Linked DNA regions of Macaca mulatta. The protein of the gene in region 1 purifies or fractionates together with the protein of each later gene. This does not show direct contact. Links are inferred from orthologs where the notes say so. Each region holds a gene or a part of one and is shown in the gene's direction. Other genes may lie near its edges.

What was found. The genes of interacting proteins can lie anywhere in the genome.
Region 2: the proteins of ARHGAP17 (region 1) and CAPZB purify together in Homo sapiens (affinity purification with mass spectrometry; 3 studies listed by BioGRID and IntAct, with this or other methods). This does not show direct contact. The link is inferred for Macaca mulatta from reciprocal best matches to the Homo sapiens genes ARHGAP17 and CAPZB.

The regions. Positions count from the first base shown.
Region 1 is NC_133425.1:24,493,456-24,498,499, reverse strand, and holds part of ARHGAP17 (rho GTPase-activating protein 17), read left to right. Parts: intron 1-1,331; coding exon 1,332-1,565; intron 1,566-5,044. UniProt on the Homo sapiens protein: Rho GTPase-activating protein involved in the maintenance of tight junction by regulating the activity of CDC42, thereby playing a central role in apical polarity of epithelial cells.
Region 2 is NC_133406.1:221,631,787-221,636,123, forward strand, and holds part of CAPZB (F-actin-capping protein subunit beta), read left to right. Parts: coding exon 1-33; intron 34-1,458; coding exon 1,459-1,561; 3' UTR 1,562-1,571; intron 1,572-4,337. UniProt on the Homo sapiens protein: F-actin-capping proteins bind in a Ca(2+)-independent manner to the fast growing ends of actin filaments (barbed end) thereby blocking the exchange of subunits at these ends.

The DNA.
Region 1 (5,044 bases):
GGCTTAAGCAGCTCTCCCACCTCAGCCACTTGACAGGCACACACCACCTCACCCAGCTGATTTTCTAAAAAACGTTTTTTGTAGAGACAGGGCCTCACAATGTTTCCCAGGCTGGTCTTGAATTTCCAAGCTAAAGCGATCCTCCCGCCTTGTCCTCCCAAAGTGCTAGGATTACAGATGTGAGCCCCCGCGCCCAGCTTTTCCAGCCTTCTGTGTCTTTCAGATGTAGGGTTTGCATATGCACATAGGGTTGTTTCTACATCTCATCTCAGTTAAGAGGCAGTGTGGTGTGATAACCTTATACTACCATTGGTAGGCCTTCTGGACTTGACTTCTGTTTCATTCCCCAAAAACAGATTTGAGATGGGAACTAGGAAGTATGGAAATGGGCCAGACGTGGTGACTTATGCCTGTAATCTCAGCACTTTGAGAGACCAAGGCAGGAGGATTACTTGAGGCCAGGAGTTTGAGAGCCTGGGCAATGTAGTGAAACCCCGTCTCTAAAAAAAAATTTTTTTTTTTTTTTGGCTGGGTGCGGTGGCTCACGCCTGTAATCCCAGCACTTTGGGAGGCCGAGGCGGGCAGATCACAAGGTGAGGAGATCGAGACCATGCTGGCTAATACGGTGAAACCCCATCTCTACTAAAAAATACAAAAAATTAGCCGGATGTGGTGGTGGGCGCCTGTAGTCCCAGCTACTCGGGAGACTGAGGCAGGAGAATGGCATGAACCCAGGAGGCGGAGCTTGCAGTGAGCCGAGATCGCGCCACTGCACTCCAACCCGGGTGACAGAGCAAGACTCCGTTTCAAAAAAAAAAAAATTTTTTTTAATATCCCAGTATGGTGATGTGTGCCAGTAGTCCAAGCTGCTCCAGAGGCTGAGGCTGGAGGATAGTTTGAGCCCAGGAGTTTGACACTGTAGTGAGCTATGATTGCTCCGCTGGAGTGCTAAGCACTCCAGCCTGAGTGGTGGAGTGAGACCTCGTGTCTAAAGGGGGGGAAAAAAAAAGGCAGAGGAAGTATGGGGATAAACACAGTAATATGGTGTCATTCAAGATGAGGCCTGCCTGTTTGCTTCTAGCTGCTCACACCCAAATTGATCAAAGACTTTGAACAGTACCAGGGTCATTGGCTTTGCTCGGGCTCAAAGCCAAGTAGAGTTGCTTGCCTTGGTATCGGGGGTGGCCATTAGTCTGGTTCTTGCCGCTTCATGCATGCTGGGCAACTTGGGTGGCTGTCCACATGTGTGGTTTTAACTCATGTGGACCGATGGGCTTCTGTCTCAGTAGTCTGCTCGCATGGTGTGTTGACTGTTTCTTCTCTCTGTGTAGCTTTGGTGTGAAGCTTATGGACTTCCAGGCCCACCGGCGGGGTGGCACTCTAAATAGAAAGCACATATCCCCTGCTTTCCAGCCGCCACTCCCACCTACAGATGGCAGCACCGTGGCGCCCGCTGGCCCAGAGCCCCCTCCCCAGAGCTCTAGGGCTGAAAGCAGCTCTGGGGGTGGGACTGTCCCCTCCTCTGCAGGCATACTGGAGCAGGGGCCGAGCCCAGGTGACGGCAGGTAAGGAGGCCGACTTCTGCTGGCAGTGGAGGCTGGACGCCCCAACCTACTTGCAGGTGGTGGCCTTTGGGCACGGCATCCACGGCCCAAAGAACTGCTCCAGCATGGAGTGAACAGATTTGCTTTCACTCCTCTGGTTGGCAAAAGACGGAAAAAAAGACTATGAATGGCTCGCTTCTTTTTATGTTTTCCAAAGAAAGCAACATTGGTTTGCGTTCTTTGCCACACTGCTTTGGTGCTGGAAACCGGAAGGCAGTGGGTGTCTCATAGTGTGTTAAGCCTCTGTCACCTGTTTGATGGACACTGTCAGCATTTATGTACTATCTGTTCGTTGTCATCCAGTGTGCTAACCAGGAAGCATTTGAATGTGGCAAGTTAGTTAAATTTTAGTATTACTAGTATTTATTCACTCATCATTCATTGATTCAGTCAGACAGATTGACCAAGTCACTGATATGTGCTGGCCACTGTGCTGGGCACATGAGGTGACTAAGACTTCACTCCACACCCCCAGATTTCAGTCTTGTAGGGCAGTTGATCCATGAGTCCAAGGTGGAAAATAAGATGGTAGCTTTTCTTTTTTCTTTTCTTTCTTTTTTTTTTTTTTTTTCTGAGACTGCGTCTTGCTCTGTTGCCCAGGCTGGAGTTCAATGGCATGATCGTAGCTCACTGCACCCTCCGCCTCCTAGGCCCAAGCAATCCTCCTACGTAAGCCTGCCAAGTAGCTGGGATTACAGGTGCTTGTCACCATGCCCAGCTAATTTTTTTTATTTTTTTGTAAAGATGGGGTAAACATAGATGCCCTAGGTTACCCAGGCTGATCTCGAACTCCTGGCCTCAAGTAATCTTCCTGCCTCAGCCTTCGAAAATAGTGGAATTACAGGCGTGAGCCACCATGCCTGCCTGGTAGATTTTCTTAAAAGTCTCTTTTAGTTGCTTAACCTTTGGATTAGCCACCTGGAGTGGGCTGCAAATGGATAGCAACTTTTAAGAAAAGGCACCTTGAACCTGAGTTTTTTTTTGTTTTTGTTTTTGTTTTTTGAGACAGAGTCCCACTCTGTCGCCTAGGCTGGAGTGCAACCAGATCTTGGGTCACTGCAACCTCCCCTCCTGGGTTCACGTGATTCTCTTATCTCAGCCTCCCAAGTAGCTGGGATTACAGGCACACACCACCATGCCCGGCTAATTTTTTTGTATTTTTAGTAGAGACAGGGTTTCACCATGTTGGTCAGGCTGGTCTCAAACTCCTGACCTCAGGTGATCCACCTGCCTCGGCCTCCCAAAATGCTGGGATTACAGGTGTGAGCCACTGCACCCGGCCAGAACTTGAGATTTTTATTTAATTGACATTAATTCAGTTCTCCACACTGATCCAGGCAGATAACCACCAGAGGCTACTTCAGGTGGCATCCCTTGTGGTTTGGAACTGACCGCTGCTCAGCTCTGCACACGTGCGCCAAAATTTCTGTTGTCATGTGTTCTGCACTGGCCACCCACAACACACCGAATGATCACACACGAAGTAAAATAAACATACACAGAACAAGGACAGGCCATTTATCCACACGTTTATTTCCCACGCAGAGTGATGAATTTGCCTTGGAAGAACTCCTTTCTCATCGTCCTTGGGATGAGCAAGGGAGAGCCTCGTTGTGTGTGAAGCTGCTCATGAGATAGGAATCTTGTTTCACCATTTAAACTGAATGCTGAATGCTTTGTGCATTCCTGAATTCCATTTTCCTCACCTTGGGAAAGTTTACTATGGCATTAAAAAAAATTAAGGCTTCAGACTTCATAGGGCTTCCCATGCACGTCATAGGCTCCACGTTAGCTTGTCAATAATTGTACCCCATGTGTATACTTGTTTTGGTTTAAATTGTTTTGTTTGAAGGGAAAAAGTCTAAGCGAATTCACTTATTTTCTTTTTCTTGTTTTTGTTTTTTATTTTTATTTATTTATTTTTTTGAGACAAAGTCTCACTCTGTTGCCCAGGCTGGAAAGCAGTAGTGCAGTCTTGGCTCACTGCAACCTCCGCCTCCTGGGTTCAAATGATTCTCCTGCCTCAGCCTCCGGAGTAGCTGGAATTACAGGCATGCACCACAATGCCCGGCTAATTTTTGTGTTTTCAGTAGAGATGGGGTTTCACCATGTTTGCCAGGCTGGTCGCGATCTCCTGACCTCAAGTGATCCACCCGCCTTGGCCTCCCAAAGTGCTGGGATTACAGGCGTGAGCTGCTGCCCCGGCCTGTTTTTTGTCTTGTTTTATTTTTCAGACAGGGTCTTGCTCTGTCACCCACACTGGAGGGCAGTGGCGTGATCATGGCTCACTACAGCCTTTTAATCTCCCAGGCTCAAGCAACGTTCCCACCTCAGCCTCCCAGCTGGGACTATACTCGTGCACCCCCATGCCCTGCTAATTTTTAAAATTTTTTGTCGTAACAAGGTCTTACTGTGTTGCCCAGGCTGGTCTTGAATCCTGGTCTCAAGCAATCCTCCGTCCTCCGCCTGCCAAAGTGCTGGGATTACAGGCATGAGCCACCACGACCAGCCAATTTACATATTTTCATTTCCTTGTGACATTCAATTTGTTTAATCAAGGCTAAATGTATTGTTTAAGACAATAATTAGTCTTAACGCAGAAGGACAAATGGAATGTCAGTCATTTTGCTTTTTTTTTTTTTGAGACAGGATCTCGCTCTGTCCCCTGGGCTGGAGTGCAGTGGCATGATCTTGACTCACGGCAACCTCCACCTCCTGGATTCAAGTGATTCTCCCACCTCAGCCTCTAGAGTAGCTGGGACTACAGGCATGAGCCACCACACCTGGCTAATATTTGCATTTTTGGTAGAGACGGGGTTTCACCATGTTGGCCAGGCTGGTCTCGAACTCCTGACCTCAAGTGATCCACCCGCCTCAGCCTCCCAAAGTGCTGGCATTATAGGCATGAGTCACTGTGCCCGGCCTGCTCTTTGTTTTTTTATACTGTATTCTGTAGGTATTTTAATGTACATTACACTAATGTTATTCACTCTTTGGTGACCTTGACAAAATGGAGCTTTAATGTTTGGTATAAAAAGTTCTGGGCCAGGAAACAGGAAGCCTGAGTTCTGATCTCTGTCCTGCTGCCACCAACTCTGGACTTCGAGTAGTCATTTAGCCTCTGAGTTCTCCTTCAGTTCAAGTTATTGATAATAATCAAGCCCTTTATCATTTAGAGTCTTATTTTACCGTGGCTTTTGCTTAGTTTTGTATAGTATATATGTCAACATCTAAAAGCCCTTTCATGATATTAATAGTACTGCCCAATTTAAGTCCAAACACAGTAGAGCTGAAAACTCTGCATTGGTTGCTTTGAAATGATCTCTCTCATGATACTGGAGTGGCAGAGTCGTTGGAGTCCAGTCTGTTGCAATGAATCTCATAAAATAAATAGTCCTATAGTCCCAGCTACTCAGGATGCTGAGGCAGGAGGATTGCTT
Region 2 (4,337 bases), on another chromosome or scaffold:
TGGAAAAACAAAGGATATCGTCAATGGGCTGAGGTAATGTACCAGAAAGCACACGCTTTAGAAGCAGAAAGAGGGGTTTGAACCCTGGCTCTGCCAGTTACTAGCTGTGTGGTCTTGGGCCTCGGTTTTCTCATTTTCAGGCTGCAGTGCCCCTCTTCTAGGATGATCATGATGGTGATTTTGGAAAGTAAAGTCCTGGTGTGTCATCTGCACTCTCAGTAGCAGCTGTCGGTCCCTACCTGTACCGTTTTCTGGGGCACGTTCACCCTAGCAGCCATTGGTACCCTTGCCCCCAGAGCCTCCTCAGCCCTGCAGTTTGTCAGTCCCCACTCAAAAATCTGCCCAGCCCCTCCAGCCTGGGCCTAGGGGAGCCATGACACTACATCCCAGGCAGCCCGGCCGCCTCTGGCTGGCCTGCTTTCCGAGACAGCAGAGCACAATGTGCAGGCAGGGCCCTCAGCCCGGGCCTTCTCAGGGGGCCCCCAGCCTCTCTGACGTCCTCTGCCAGGGCTCTGCTACCAGTGGCCAATGTCCTGCACTGTCCCACCCACCTCGTGCCCTCGTCTCTGCAGTGTCAGCCTGAACAAAAGCTGGGGGCTCTCTGGACCCTCCAGGTCCATGGTGGACAGAGCAGGAGGCAGGCCTCTGACATGAGGCCAGAGCCCAGCTGGGGGCAGTAGACAGCTGTGGAGTGAGCACTGGCCTTGGAGTCAGGAGGCTGGGATCTCCCCTAAGCTCTGTCATCCTGAGCTGTGTGGCCTCTGGCACTCCTCGAAGAGGCCCTTGTCCGATGGAGGAGGCAGGGTCGGCTGAGATGGTGAATCTAGAACACGCTCTGCAGTCCAGCAGCACCATGTGAGTCGGGCCATGCTATGCCCTTAGCAGCCAGCCCTCTCACCCACTGCCGTGACATAGCTCTCACAGCCCAGCCCAGAGGAGAGGCAGGTTGCAGTTCTGTTGCTGCACCAGCTCATGGACTGGGGTGGGTGACAGATTTCAGTCGCCTGCTTTATAGTTTTAAAACAGAGGAGTCCTCCTCTTTGGACCCTGGTCTTCTGATCTCCTGCCCACCTGGGGGAGGTTTGGTCTTCATGACCTGTGACAGGGTCAGAGCCCAGTGGTCCGTGGTGTTAGGCCTGCCACCTGCAGCCACTGCCCAATACACCAAACGCACTTTCCCGCCCAGCCAACCTACACAGTCCCCAGGCAGTGGCTGGGAAGTGGGGGAGAGAAGCGGAAGAGCCTATGGGTGGTGGTGGCGAGCCCCTGAAAACCACGGCCACCGCCAGCGTGGGCCTCTGCAGCGGTGATACCACTCTACAGCCCAGAGCCGCTGCGGCACCCCCCTTCCGCCTCGTGGGTCTCCCTGAATTTCCTCCTCAGCTGTGGCCCCCTGCGTTCCTGGCTTCTCGTGGTTCTCTTCCCTCCCACTCCACTCATCTTGAACACTCTCTGTAGATCTATTGATGCTATCCCTGACAACCAAAAGTTTAAGCAGTTGCAGAGGGAGCTCTCTCAAGTGCTGACCCAGCGCCAGATCTACATCCAGCCTGATAATTAAGCCGATCCAGGTACCCTGCCTGAGAGCCGCGAGACCCTCCCCACTAAAACAGGACTCACCAACCCGCCGAGACCCTGCCGGTCCGGCTGCTGCTGCGCGGCCATTTAAAACACCACTAACCCCCACGTGTGCTCCCGGCCGGTGCGCAGCCGCATTCCCGTGTAGCCGCGGCCCTGTGTAACACGGCACCTATCACGTGTGTGCGCTTTCCACTCTGGGCGGAGGTTGGGTGTGGGGAAGACGGCTGATTTTTTGGCTTTTGCTTCTGAAAAAACCCAGGCCAAGGGACGGATGCTGCCTCTCCAGCAGCAGCCCCTTGTGTGCACCGGCCTGACTGTCCCCAGGGCAGGGGTCTGCGTGCTGTCCACTCCCCATGCTTCAGAGGAGCCTCGGATGCTGGTGCAGGGATCCTAGAAGCCTTATAAGCCCCTGTTCAGCGGTACATTGGCTGTCCAGGGCTAGCTGGCTTGGAAGGGGTGACCTCCGCTCTGATCTCGGAGTCTCTGGGGTTGGAGGGCAGAGTCAGGGCTGGACTCCACCCCGGCCGGCCCCGATGCTCTGCTGGAGCTGCCTGGACGCCCAGTGCAGACTCGGCCTCAACCAGCATAACCTTCCGCCCCTAACGAGCTGCAGCTGTTCCTTTAAACAGGTTCTGCGGATGGAAAGGAAAATAGTCTTGCTTGTTGGTAATGGCCAAGAACCATGACTTGAGCTTGTGACAGATCCAGATGTAGGGAAGGAGGCAGCATCCCTGGAGAGCAGGAGGGAAACTTGTCTGTAAAAGAAGGCATTTGGAACCCTGCCAGCTGGGGCTGCAGAGTCCAGGTCCAGGGGCTCCACACTGAAGGCCCACCCCAGAAGGGGGTGCAGCAGGCTTTCCAAGGTGGAGGTGGGGGTCAGGCACTTAGAAAACCAGGCGGAGCTGCTTTTCCAAGGCCGTGGGACTTAAGTGCACCAGTCTAGTCTGTGTGTGCCAACTTAAGGCCCAAGACTCCGGTCAGCCTCACAGTGGGGCCATCAGGCATTTCCATCGTGGCATTGAGAAAAAACCCTTTTTAAGGTACACTGTGATGGTGCAGTTACCTGGCCGCCCACTGGGGGCGTCCTGGCGTAGAAACCCTGACAGCCAGGTCTGCTTAGGACGACTCCTCCCTCCCACAGAGGCGAGCTCTGTCTCCAAGCGCTGATTCGAGGGTGCTTGGCCGTGACCTTCCCAAGCTCTGTCCCTTAAATGAGCCCCCTGCTCCTTCCGCCTTCCACCATTTCACTTCTAACTTCCTGTGTCTAACTTGATTCTGGCTCTGGAACTTTCTCCTTTGTGCAGTCCAGCCAAGACCTGATGGGCTTGGCTCTTCCTTCCCAGAAGAGCCAGTGACCACCCAGGCTAGGGGTCTTGTGCGCTGCTGCTTTGCCCACCGCATCTCCTGCTGGCCATGTTGACCTCCCGCTGTGAGCTTGGCAAGAAGCCCCTGGGGAATCGGCTGAGATTTGGAGCCTGAGGGTCATGAGGGCTGATGCCTTTGGCTGCTGCAGAGCCAGGGACAGTCCTGGGAAGATACTCAGAAACGTGTAGTTCCCCAGCATGAACCAAATGTCCGCGTTTCTCCTGGGAGTTTTCTCAGTTGTATGCAGCTTGCTTCCAGGTCTTGTCTGTGGCACCTGCTGAGTATTTTGAGGGCTCTTCCTGTGACTTGTAGGGATTCAGTAGCCGGAACTCAATCTGGGTGCTGTTGCTTCTCCTGGGCCCTGCTTCACTTCTATTTACCCATTTTTGCATTTGGGGACTGATTTTTCTGATTCTTCCTTCCCATGGCTGGTGTGAATCAAACGTGAGAGTCCAGCTGAGTGCACCCTCCGTAGCACTCTTGGGCAGCCCTCTACCCACTCCTTCCACTGCTTCTAAACTGTTATAAAACCCACTTTTAGGAAGTCATTGCCTAACCAATATGTTGGGTAAATTTGACAAAATGATCAAAGAATTGCTAGCGGGCATTCCTCTGGGCCTCAGTTTCCGGATCTGTAAATTGGATTGATAGCTTTTTTTTTTTTTTTTTTTTAAAGCCTTGACTTTGCTCTTTTTTGTTGTTGTTGTAGAGATGGGGTCTCACTGTGTTGCCCAGGCTGGTCTCGAACTCCCGGCCTTAAATGATCCTCCCGCCTTGGCCTTCCAAAGTGCTGGGATTATAGGCTTGAGCCACCACATCTGGCTGGGTTGATAGTTGAGACTACCCCAGGATGCCCGTAAGAATTAAATGAGATAATATATGTGAAAGGCGTTTTGTAGACTATGAAATCTCCACAAGCCTTCATTGTTTCTGTCTTTTTTGATGAGTGTCCCCACACATACGTGAATGCAGTCACCTTGAACGTTTCCCCACAAATCCAGAATTTGACAGCAGGGATCCCAGGGGCACTTGGCTCTCCTGTGCCGCCCTTTGCAGTCCAGGCTGAGGGGTTTTCTGGGCCAAGTTAACAGCGGGTGGTACCTCACAGCAGAGGCCTGAAGCACCTGCTGCGTGAGCCTTGAACACGGTGTGCTCAGAAACAGAGACACTGGTTCCTACCCACTGCCAGGGCTGGGAGAACTGCTGCACCTTGCACTTGTGGGGTGAGGAATGAGGCTCTCCTGCTGGGCAGGGCCTGGGCAAGGGGGAAGCTTTTCTAGAGGAACCCGCATGGCGCCAGAGCCCTCACGTCTTAGCCCCTGGCCTGAGTCCCCAGCCAGCAACCCAGGGTAGCTGTTCTGAAGCAGAGGGACTTTGTTCCATTGTGCTTG